3 linked regions of the Danio rerio genome follow. The protein of the gene in region 1 interacts with the protein of each later gene in a biochemical or structural test. Links are inferred from orthologs where the notes say so. Each region holds a gene or a part of one and is shown on either strand. Other genes may lie near its edges.

Evidence for each region. The genes of interacting proteins can lie anywhere in the genome.
Region 2: the proteins of ptpn11b (region 1) and cav1 form a complex in vitro, tested with the Homo sapiens proteins (2 studies listed by BioGRID). The link is inferred for Danio rerio from reciprocal best matches to the Homo sapiens genes PTPN11 and CAV1.
Region 3: the proteins of ptpn11b (region 1) and kita form a complex in vitro, tested with the Homo sapiens proteins (3 studies listed by BioGRID and IntAct, with this or other methods). The link is inferred for Danio rerio from reciprocal best matches to the Homo sapiens genes PTPN11 and KIT.

What each region holds. Positions count from the first base shown.
Region 1 is NC_133198.1:26,914,075-26,917,641, reverse strand, and holds part of ptpn11b (tyrosine-protein phosphatase non-receptor type 11b), read right to left. Parts: coding exon 3,541-3,567; intron 3,440-3,540; coding exon 3,323-3,439; intron 1-3,322. UniProt on the Homo sapiens protein: Acts downstream of various receptor and cytoplasmic protein tyrosine kinases to participate in the signal transduction from the cell surface to the nucleus. Positively regulates MAPK signal transduction pathway. Dephosphorylates GAB1, ARHGAP35 and EGFR.
Region 2 is NC_133200.1:19,558,725-19,563,030, reverse strand, and holds the start of cav1 (caveolin-1), read right to left. Parts: upstream 2,804-4,306; 5' UTR 2,596-2,803; coding exon 2,560-2,595; intron 2,014-2,559; exon of another isoform or gene 1,937-2,013; coding exon 1,769-1,936; intron 1-1,768. UniProt on the Homo sapiens protein: May act as a scaffolding protein within caveolar membranes. Forms a stable heterooligomeric complex with CAV2 that targets to lipid rafts and drives caveolae formation. Mediates the recruitment of CAVIN proteins (CAVIN1/2/3/4) to the caveolae.
Region 3 is NC_133195.1:24,925,160-24,929,378, reverse strand, and holds the start of kita (mast/stem cell growth factor receptor kita), read left to right. Parts: upstream 1-1,416; 5' UTR 1,417-1,501; coding exon 1,502-1,556; intron 1,557-4,219. UniProt on the Homo sapiens protein: Tyrosine-protein kinase that acts as a cell-surface receptor for the cytokine KITLG/SCF and plays an essential role in the regulation of cell survival and proliferation, hematopoiesis, stem cell maintenance, gametogenesis, mast cell development, migration and function, and in melanogenesis.

The sequences.
Region 1 (3,567 bases):
AGTCCTGTGATTCCTGTCTAATCAAATCGCACATAAAAGGTAAATTGCATCATAACAAACTACCTCAAGACATGGGCGATTTATAATTGCAGCAAACTGTTTGCAAGCATCAAAAGGGTCCAAGAAGATGTCCAAAATCTTTACACGCATTGACCCAGAGACTGTTTAGATGCATGTCACTGATGAGAAGATGACAGATGTTTACTGTATGATGATCGAAATAGCCTTAAACACCCAGCTGGCACAAGACGTCAAAATGACATTAGATTGACGTTGTACCCCAACGTCGTGGAGACGTTACATTTTGTTTGGAATTGAAAATCGGGTTGACGTCAGAACTCAAAGTCAGACCGATGCCAATGTCCAACATACAACCAAAAATCAACCAAATATCAACGCCAAATGATGTTACTGTCACGGTATGGGGGTGATGAAGAGGAGGCGAGGACCCAAATGCAGGGAATGAAGAGTTTAATGAAAAATAAAACAAAAACAAAACTCAAATCTCCCCATGTGGGGAAAAACACAACATATTACACACTCAACTAGACAAGGTCTGGAACTTGACAAGACAATACATTAAACCACTGTTGTAGACTAGAAATCAGCAGATACAACAGAGAAGGGAACAATCAATAACGGACCAGCACGGAACAGAGCACACTAGGAGAATAAATAGGAAAGACAAACCAATAAACAGACAGGCGGACAGGTGAAAATAATAATTACAAACAAGGTAACAAGGTGGGTGGGACAAGACAATAGACGGGAGAGCGCATGACACAGAGAGACAATACAAGCCATGCGCTCACACAACACAACACTGAAGCACACGACAAAAGCACGTGACCACAATGTAAACACCGAGCCACGTGCTTTGACAAAAGACGCAAGACACGAGCACACGATGAATGAAAGCACTCACCGTGCGCGCACACACACGCAGCGTGCATGCTTCATCCCAGCGCCGACCAAAACCGAAACCAACAAGACTGAGACGCTGGGAATGAAACACCACGCTGCTGACAAACGAAAACACAAACACGAGTACAAGAGCGCACGCGTCTGAGTGACGCAGAGCGCGCGCGCGGCCGCGTCAAGCAGGAACGCGCACACTCTACGTACACCCATGACGGCGCGCGCTCACACAGAGACAGAAACAGGACCCGACATGAGAAGTGTCAGAGCTCTGCCACCAAAACAAGAATTTACAAGACCAAAGTGGCAGAACCCTGACAGTTACAGTTTGACGTTGTGTGGACGTTACCACTATGACGTCTATCAGATGTTGGATTTGGTTGCCATACCTGATGAATAAATGTCAGTATTTGACGTCAATATGAAGCTAGTTTTAAGGGGTGGTCCAGAATGTAATTTTAAGGCTTAATTGTGTTTATAAGATGCAAAGCAATGTGTGCTCATGTTTCACTTGAAGGAAATCGCGTTATTTTTTCATATATCTCACTTTGATTATACACAGCTACTCAGCTAACATGAAAATGACTGTCAAATTTCCTAGTTCCTCTGAAAGGCCTGCCCTTAAGTGACTCTGATTGGTCATCGTCATAATGTGCTGCTATTCGCGGATTGGCTCCACGTCACGCCCATGAAAGCATGCGCTTTTCTGCTGTGTAAACAATCATTCAACCACCTGCCTGCTCACTAAAATAAAATCTGACAAGTGTCTGTAACGAGTGAAAATTGGGTGCAGCTCCTTAAAGAGACCTTGTCTTTGTGTGTGTCTATGTGTGTGTGTGTGTGTGTGTGAGTGAATGTTGTCTGCGTCTATGTGTGTGTGAGTGTGAGTGAATGTGTGAACTTTCTGTAACAAGCGCATGTGCACGGGAGTTTTTTTTTCTTTTTCTCTGATGCTCGGATTAAGTTATTTTCTATAATATATCGTGACAGAAGAATAAAGCACAAGATGTGTGAGCCTTGATTTATTATTCTGCTGCTACCACGAGTCAGGTAAGCTAACCTGTATTTTTTTAACTCTATGCTTTACAAGACGGCTTTCATATATATCCGGAATATGCAGGTGTAAGTAATATGAATCATCTACATATCTTTTGCGACTTCATTATCTGAGATGTGAAAAACATGGAAAAACTGCCTGAAGACAATCAATGCAAAGTCGCGCACACACATAAGAGTCACGAACGTGCTGGTGGAGTGTGTGTGTGTGTTTACAGCAGTTTGACTGATAAATATGAATTTGTAGCTAAATCGTTTGCCCGCAAAGCAGCATTTCGCATTGTTTACATCGTTGCTACAGCGTACCGTTAACGCTATACACTGTACATGTCATGATCAATTTTAACAAATAAAAACACTTACAGGTTGTAGCTCACAGCTTCTGCTTTGAGGAGATTTTCTGCTTTTGCGCCTTACCTGCGCAGTTTGTATGCACAGTAAACGAACCTTTGTGATCTCACAGGGGGTGGAAGTATTTTTTGTAGTCCCCAAAATTTGTTCATTGTAGGCTTAACTCCGTAAAAATCAAGGTCTCCCTTTGCATTAAATTGAGAACTTTTTACATTCAGAGATGTTGTTTATATTCACACAGCTACATTACACATCAACTAAAGTTTAAAATATGATATCATAGTGGACCACCCCTTTAAGTTGTTGGCTCAATGTTTTTGTTCACTTCCTAAACCCTAAAATCAATCAAATATCAACGTCATTTGACGTCATTCATCCTTGGACTTCAAAATAACGTTCCTAGATGCTGGCTAACCATTAAATTTAGGTCACAATCTAAATCTAACCTAATATTAACGTCTTATGACGTTCTGTGCCTGCTGGGCAATAACTAAATGCACTACAGAATATTACGTTTACACACATCCACAAATTAAATGGTACTCACTACTCGAGTACTTTTAAAAGGGCTACTTTTTACTCATACTTAGAGTAATATTTACAACAGATACTTTATCTCTACTTGCACTACATCTACTTGCACTACTTTAATTTATCTAAGTATGATTTTTTTTCAGTACTCTTTCCACCACTGCATTTCTTAATATTATCAAAGTTGAAAACAATGAATATTTTCTTGAAGAATTTGTGAACTTTTTTTCATGATTCATTTCAAACTAAATATAAAATTGATTGATATAGAAACATTTTTTAAAATTATACATTTCTTGGTCACTTTGTCAATTTAGTGCATAAATATAAGTAATGGTTCTTTAAAAAATAATAATAAATTGCAGACCCAGATCTTTGAAAGGCACTTGTTTTGCATTTGCAGCTACTGTAATTGCTTGTCTGAAGGAAAAATGTGTTTCTTTCAGGCTTGGTTTGATTTACTCACCTGTTTAAGGTGCACAACAATTCCACTCTTCTCGACCATGGGGTTTTTCTTATAATGCTCTACTAAATCTGCTAAGGTGTCAAACCTCTCCCCTCCTCCTACATCATATTTTCCATCCTGGTAAAAGACATAAAAAAATTTTTTTTTTTTAAATAGACATTTATTTTAATCTTCTTTTTTTTCCTTAAGGAAATAGTGAAATGTTACCCTGTTTTTACCTGATAACGGATCATGACATGTGTGAC
Region 2 (4,306 bases), on another chromosome or scaffold:
GCTCATTTTAAATAAGTGTTTGTCCAAACAACAAACATCATTTTCGAGTGTATTTTATTTTGTGTTCAACTAAAAAGTCAACTAAAAATGTGGAAACACTTGAAGGTGAGTAAATGGTGAGCAAATTTTCATTTTTGTGTGAATCTGTTCAGGCTGGGAACTGGTTGGTCAAGTAATGTGGTCTACAAACCAAAACACCTAAGGGGCCATTCACACAGAATGTGCTTTTCCATCTCAGTGCATTACTTTTACATTGTTTTTTTATGTTAAAGGACTTTACAGACTTGCATGACCATTATGTTTCTGTAATGCAATTTTTACAAGTTGCACCATTCTTTAATGTCAGTTCCAAAGCAGCGGACCAATCAGAATAACGGAAAGGCATGGCAAGCATCTTTGGATGCAACGATGTGTTCTGTATGAATCACCCCTAAGGAAGCTTGAAAGTGTGTTTTACTGTAAGGCCATGTTTACACTTGGTAATACTATGTTTTGCTTGATTGAAGTAGATAAAGTTATGTTTAATAATGTTTTGCTTGATTGAAGCAGACCTCATCACATATATACCAGCCATTCTAATCTGTCTCTTTTGGCCACATTTCTTTGAGAGGCTTGTGTATTTATGCACTTCAGAACTTTCAAACCAATATTGTGAAATACACTTGCACAATTGATATACAGTATGAGGAAGACACATACAAGACGTTCGTTTCTGCTCCACAAAACTATGCCAAGCTCAGTGGATTTGCAAGCCAGGCTCAATGGAAATATGTGATTCTGGCTACGTAAAAACTACAAATCGTACCTTCCGGTATAAACCCATTTTGCTGCACTGAACCTAAATGAACACCTTTTTCTAACATTTAATAAAGAGTTAATTATCTTGTTATGTTTTTTGTAGATCTTTGCATAATTTTATTTGTCCATTAAAGCGTTTTGGTGCATCTGAAAATTCCAGTGCTCTTCTACCAGCAATCAGCTGTGAGCACTTCTCTAAAAACAATGAGAGATTTTATTTCCAATGAACCTGTGCATTGTGCTCACAGTTCAGTACATTGTGCTTTTTTATTTACATTTCAAACCAAACTTACTATTTTGGGTGGCAAAGTTTAAATTGCATTTCCACTACAAAGTACATTGATCAAATGTTTGATTAGTGAAAAGAGAGGAATAATCTACTTAAATGAAAAATGTATTTTAATGCAATCCCATTTTAATGGCTGAAAGTGCATAAGCTCAAATAGTTTTGAACATCATTGAATAGTTTATAATAGTAACAAAAATGCATTTTAATACCAGCTGTAAAGCAATTTTGCAAGTAAAATTGTACATTATAATTCCCAAGTACTTGAAGCCATCATTGTTTCTACATTCAAAATTAATCGTTTCCAGTGCCACCTTGACAAACTGACCACTGACTCACCACTTTTGTTATGAAGCCAACTTTCTATTGTGTTATAATGGGAAACTATTGGGATAAAATGGTCTTACTTAGCAGTGTGTATAAACTGCAATGCACTTTAAAGACTTTTCTGAATTATAAATTAAATATAACAATGAAGGATTTGCTTTTATCTGTCCATACAAATTATATTTGCTAATATCAAGTATGCAGTTATGAATATCACATATACTAAACAATAACCTGTGAGATTCTTATTAACGTTTCCATGCAGTTAAACAAATGTCCTCATTATTTATATTTTAAATTTAAATTGAATACCCAACAATTAAAAAAGTTGCATGAACCAGACAAAGTTTGTCCTACCTTCACCACATCGTCATTTAAATGCTTTGGGTCTCGGTTGACCAGGTCAATCTCCTTGGTGTGGACATCCTGAAGTGTCTTTTCGTTGATGCTGTCGTTATCCATTTCTTTATTGTTTGGTTTGTAAATGTTCCCCTGTTTCCTGATAAACGGCGAGTGAGCGTATTCCTGCGGTTCCAAAGAAAACAGAAAATGAAGTTCATGAGCGTGGAGTGGGAGACTCGGGCGCAACTCAGCACAGCCCTGGCATGGGATGGTTTTAAGCGGATAGAAATGAAGCACCACACCCCTCTGGAACACAGTGGCGCATCCCGCCACACGGAGGCGCCATTTTACATTATGCGCCTGTTGTGCTCCCTTTTTATTCCGCAGCAGAAAATATGAAAATGCGCTCACTGCTGAAAAATCTTGTTTTTAGTTCGTGCTTAAATTATATTACTGTAACAAAATTGTTTAGACGCAGTTTCCCTTTATAAATATGTGTATTGATAAAGTACTTCTATTTCACCTGGATTAATGAGCAGTTCATATTTTCATAGCCTAGTATTATTTTATTCAGCTGTGTTTGTGAAAGTGTTGCGAAAGGGAGGCTTGCAGTACAAATACGTGCCAGGAAAAGATAAGACTTCAAATCTGCCAATAATGTAGCAAGTGTCAACACTGCCTCCGTTTGTTGATAAACCATACAAAAGGTTTGCAAATAAGTAACTAAATTAAATTTTGCTCTGTATAAAATTAATTGTCATCAAAAGTAAAAGATTTCTGAGGTAAAATAGGGGTGTTCTTCTTACCTCTTCAGGTGTCCCGTCCTTGTATCCGCTAGTCATGCTGTCCCGTGCCTGAAGTGCGATCAGATGAGTGTGAGGAAACAAGACAATCAGTACAGAGGAAGCAGTGTGGGAGGCGTGGGGATATTGCTTTCTGTGGGGAGTTTTTTTTCCCTTAAAACAGCCCTCTCTTCTGCATGCTAAAGTCCCATCAAGCTTTTATCTGAAAGCTAGTTTATCTCTCTTGAAGACTCTCACGGCACAGAGTGGGAGTTTCTCCCAGTCACTGAGTTTGTGTGTTGAATGAATGAGGAACCCTCCATTAGCCTGCCAATCACACAGCTACGCAGCATTAGTGGTTGGGGATTTTGACGTGATTTTTTCCCAAATGGGAGGCACATCTGGGCATTAGACCAACTTTTCCTGCACGATTGCCATGTATGCTAACAGGAACATGCACTCTTTTTTTCATTAGCAGTTTTAAAATTGTGTTACAGTAATGCTAATCAAAATAAAGCAACCCTAAGCATTACACTTCATTTTTTTTTTTTGCTCGTTTAAACTACTTATTTAAAATGAGTGGAAACAACACAATTCTTGAGATTTCATTGGGACAACGTTTTTTTTTTTTTGTTCAATCCACATAAATCTGTTAAAAGTGTTAAGTTAATTTAATCAATTTGTGTTGGGACAACATGAACGAATTGTGTGGAACCCTGCATTTTTACAATGTTTGAAGGTTGTTTAGAGACAATATATATATATATATATATATATATATATATATATATATATATATATATATATATATATATATATATATATATATATATATATATATATATATATATATATAAAGCAAATCAAACTATTTTTAACCAAAGTAACCTAGTCAGACATAGTCACCCTACTATTGAAGTTTGATCTGTGCCAAAAGTCGACTGATGGTAGCTTCATTTGCCCTTATTGACTGTCATATTCACATAACATAGGTATAGGTTGATTGTGTTTTCTATGTTGTATTGTTCCTACAGAACAAGAAAAAGTTCAACAGAACATGACAATGTAACACAAAAATTGAAATAATAACTGAAAAACTAAAAACAAAAGGAAATACAAACATTAACATATAGTTATTTACCTCAACAAGTGGGCAGTTACTGTACATAAGGACAGATGTAGTTTACAAAGCAGTCTATTTAATTTTGTTACAAAAAATTGTGGTGCATATTAAAATTAAACCTTTAAATGTATGAAGCACTACTGACACTCAATGTCAGATTTTCCAATTCAGAATATCCATTAAAATATGTTTTACTATTGAACTTTTTGCACTTCGGATGTATAAACCTAAAAGGTAACTACACTGAGGTCTGTTTGCATATTAAAAGGTTCCTCGAGGCAAGACTTGCACTTCAGTTTGGAATGTTTTGAACAACACTGAAGCTGCAGGTTCTTGTTTTTCTCATATTTGCCTTACTTACGTATCATTTGCTTGACTTACCTATACATCTTTTTAGGAGGCATTTATTACACCTAACAAATGTTTGTATTTCTAGGTCAGATGCTGGCAAAGCGAGGGTTGTGACAGGCAATGCAAAATATGCAAACAACGTCGCCAGTGATAGTGGCCAAAGGTTGCTGTAGGTAAAAACTCCAGCAGCACTCTTATTATATGATAGATTTGATTCTATATTATATAACTTTACATTAATTGCAAGGTTCATCTATTTGTAGCTCATAGTAAACATTTTATTATACAAAATCAGAA
Region 3 (4,219 bases), on another chromosome or scaffold:
CATGATGGTGTCACTTGTATATTAATAAGTGAATATTTAACTATTTGCAACACATTTTGCTGAAAAGCATGATGTATACTGTACCACAGAGACACACTGGCGCAGTAATACCGATTTAATGAGGCCATGGGTATATATGTGGAATGATTTACAGCAGCTGGCTTAACTAATTTGTGCTAGTGTGTAGGATATAAATCCATTTTAATGTTTGTACATTTTGTTCTATTGGCACAATCATTGGGCATATTCGAGAACCATTCAAAATCATTTTGTTTCCCTCAAGGTTATATTTGCCTTGTTGAACTTGTTCAGCACTTTTATTTCACATTTGACAGTTCAATATTGAATAAAAAAAAACAAAAAAAAACAATGAATGTGTTTATCTCAGAGTCTGGAATGATGCAAAATCACAAGATGATGTTGAAGAATGGGAAAATAGCAACATGTTATTTTTTTTTTATAATTCAAAATGACTCCTGGCTACTGGCTCATTGAGAAATATGGGTAAATAACAGGGTGAAGTGGAGTTCGGCTGTCACATTTAAGTTATATGTTAGAATGACAAGTATAGTGAAACTCTGTTGTTTGTTATAATAAAAGCATAAAATATCAATCATTCTATTTTTGAAAGCCAATACAAATATTGGATATCAGTGGAGCAGATTAGGAAAGATACAAAGCCTCTCACAGACATTAATGACAAACAAATGCTTAAAACAATACTACCACTATCCACTCATTTATGTTTAATAGTTCTTTGTTCTCAGACAAAATCAAAGTATGATGCAGATGAGGCTAATCTTGCTGGTTCCAAAGCTAATTACCCCACGATGTGCTTGTCAAAATCAGTGATAACTGTGAAATAAATCAAACCAATGTGCATGGTTTATGAAAAGGAAAGTACAGCAGACCTACAACCCCCTGCTAAATCATTCACCTATCACCTCATGCTGTAAACATTATTGCTATCATGAGATAAGGTGATGTGTAATTATCTTTTATACCTCTTTTTGCATCTGGAAATACACAGCCTGTGTTCTTTTCTTTTTTTGTGTGCTAATAACATTCCATGAAGTTCTGTGAAAATCTAAATGTTTTAGTTTGTGTTGCAAATTCGCCATTGACAGATCAGCATTATCACACAAAGAGGAGCCTGTATTGAATCTGCAGTCTAATAAATCAATTAGATCGCCCTACTTATCATTATACAGTTTGTTATGGGCAATTCACAGTTTCTTCTGACAAGCCACGTGTCACCCCGTGGCACTTGTAACCTCTTTTGTGCGTCTCAGGTATGACTAGCATTATTGCTGTTGATGTTGTTACCTCCCTGTCCCCGCCCAGGCTCGCTCGTCGTTCCGCATGACCCGCGCGCAGGCTACAAGGTAGAAAACAAGGCTGGCCCTTTAAGACGGCAGTGATCGCTCCGCAGGCGACCGTTCGGCGTTATTATCGAGCTCCAAGACTATACAACACACATGAGATAGATGGACTTATAACAATGGAATATCACTGCGTTCTGTTTACTGTTTTGTTGCAGTTAATCATCCAACCAGGTAGGGCGGCTGTTATCTTTTTTTTGCTTTTTTTATGGTCTTACTTTGTTCCCCAAGCTTAAAGATAAACTAGAAGTTGTTCAGTGAGGAGTAGGGATGTGCACTTGCTGAGAAGAGAGCCTTGCTGAGTTACTACCGAAGCAAAACGGATTACTTTCTGAGAATAATGTATGGACCTGTTGCTTCTACTCATGATTCATTATTAAAGCAGTTTAATATTAATCTACACACTGTTCTGTCTTTCATTATAATTTAATTGTGTGTCAAGACGGGGCTTTCATGCTGGTCTGTCAGTCCAGAGCTCTCCCATTCTCTGAAAACTAAAATCTAAACAGCTTGTGAGAGTTTCCACTGATCATCCCTGTGAATCATATCCTCTTCACTTACCGTGCAGAGACTCTATATATCAGGAATTTAAGCAGTTACAGGAACCGCTCATTGAAACAAGATATTGATCCGGAGAGCGGCAGGTGAGAATGTAAAGTAAAGCCGATCCGCGCGCTGCTCTCAATTATTCATCACTCAGGCTCGAGCGCGCGCGCGTCTCCGCAACAAGTGGAGGAATATGAAGCCTGTTTCAGCTGGAGAGGGACGTGAAGGAAAGAGTTTAGACGCTAAAACAATTACACAAGTTTATTTTTTAGATAAAATGGCACGGTGAGCGATGAACGCATTGTCGCTTGAAAGCATTGGAAAGCTTTTGAACAAATGTTTTTTTACTAGGCGTTTAGTTATACATGCTGCTACAAATTACATTTTAAAAAGTCGACAAAAGTAGACATTTGCGAACAGAAATCGCGGTCATCTGAGGAGGTAGCCATAGCAACAGTGTCCAGCTTCAGCACTTTAGGTCCAGTAACATTAACTAAACACGTACTGTGTTTAAAACACTTTATTTTGTCAAGAATTAACATAAAGTTTGTTGTGCAATGCCTTTGAAGAACAATTTTGATTGTTCAAAATTAATTTAATTTAATGACATAACACTGAGTGGACATGTTTTAAAACGAAGAACGTTTAAAACATGTAAATAACTTGTTTTTTCCACTATAAAAACATTTTGTGGGAAATAAAGGTTTCATGGCTGTTAAACTTTCTAAGAACGTTGATATCAATAATGTTAAGGAATGGGCAGCATATATGACCAGAAATAAACACGAGTTTTAAAAGATATCTAAAGATAAAATTACACCTTAAGGTTAAAGTTTGTTGGAGTTTTCAAAAATGCCTTAATGTGTTTGCATTTTTGGTTAATTTTATTATTGTTCCTTTAGTCTGGACAAAGGTTGTATGTAAATGATCTGGAATTCCTTGTTTTATCCCAAAAGCCATTGAAGATGTTTTGCATGCTTCACCCTGACTTTTTTTTTTTTTTTTTTTTTTTTTTGCTTTGGCTCGCTGGCACCTCATGGACGTATCAGATGGTCTTTTGTACTGCTCAGATAAGCCCTTATGGATGTTCTAAAAGATGAGGGGCAAGTCTGGACTGCATCTGTTAACTGACCACTGCGTATCATGTGTTCAGACTTTTATCCCAGTGTAACTCGTGCTTTTAAACAAAGATACTTTTTGTCTTAGTTAGTTTTCAACTGCTGTTTTTCATGTGGTGAATTTACGTTTCAAGTAAGAATCTGTTGTGATGCTTTGCTTAAATTTCACGAACGCGCTTTTAGAGAGGCTTACCTGTAGAATCGTGGCAATCAGAGCCGTGGTATGAAGGACTTCATTCAATTCAAATGATCAGGTTTAGAGCGAGCGTGGACAATGCAGAACACATGCACACGCATTTAGTGTGGTTTTGGCATGAATCTGAAAATCAGCTTTGCAACGCCAGAGGGCTTCAGCGCTCAATTGACTACTTTGCATCGGGTTCTTTTAAACCGATAACGCTACGGGCTTTCGGATAACAGCCATGAGAAGTCGTTCACATGGAACAAATGTGCATAATTATTTAATGCCCTGATATAAACCGTTTGAGCATAATAATTATATTCATAACTAAGCCTTTTGGTGTTGCATGTATTAATTGGTTCTGCATGTAGGCTGGTGCCTCTAGTGACTAACGATGGTATCACAAGTCCCTATGAATAAATGAAAGATCTGTTTGCATCTGGGACTAAATGTTACTGATCTTGCAGGCTATCATATTTATCAAGCATCATTAGCTTATAGTGAACACTCAGCTCCTTTACATCACCTCTGTTCAGCAACTCATAATGCTGTCGTAATGGTGTAATTAAGATAAAAAAAAAACTCTCTGCATGGTTTAACCAATGAGGTGACAAGGTGATAATCTGCTTTACTAGTGTTACTCTCAGAGTTGTATTTCTCTCATTCTTATATGTCTATGTGGTGTTGGTGTTTGGAGCTTTGCGGAAGACAAGTAAACATGGAACGGTTGTGCTTAGGTTTTTCTCTGGAAGGACACCTGACTTTGCAGATGCTGTTTTCTTGGCACAGAGTGACAGTTTGCACTGAGGCAAGCAGCTAATCAGGCTAAACCACAGCTTCTATATTTTTATCATGTTATCTCATTTTAACTTGAGGCAACCATGGGGGCCGTAGCGTACCCCCTACCTCCTTTCTCACATTCTCAGAAATCAAGACTGAAATAAGCAGATGCAAAAAGTAATGTTTTATTGAACATTTATTGAAGATACTTC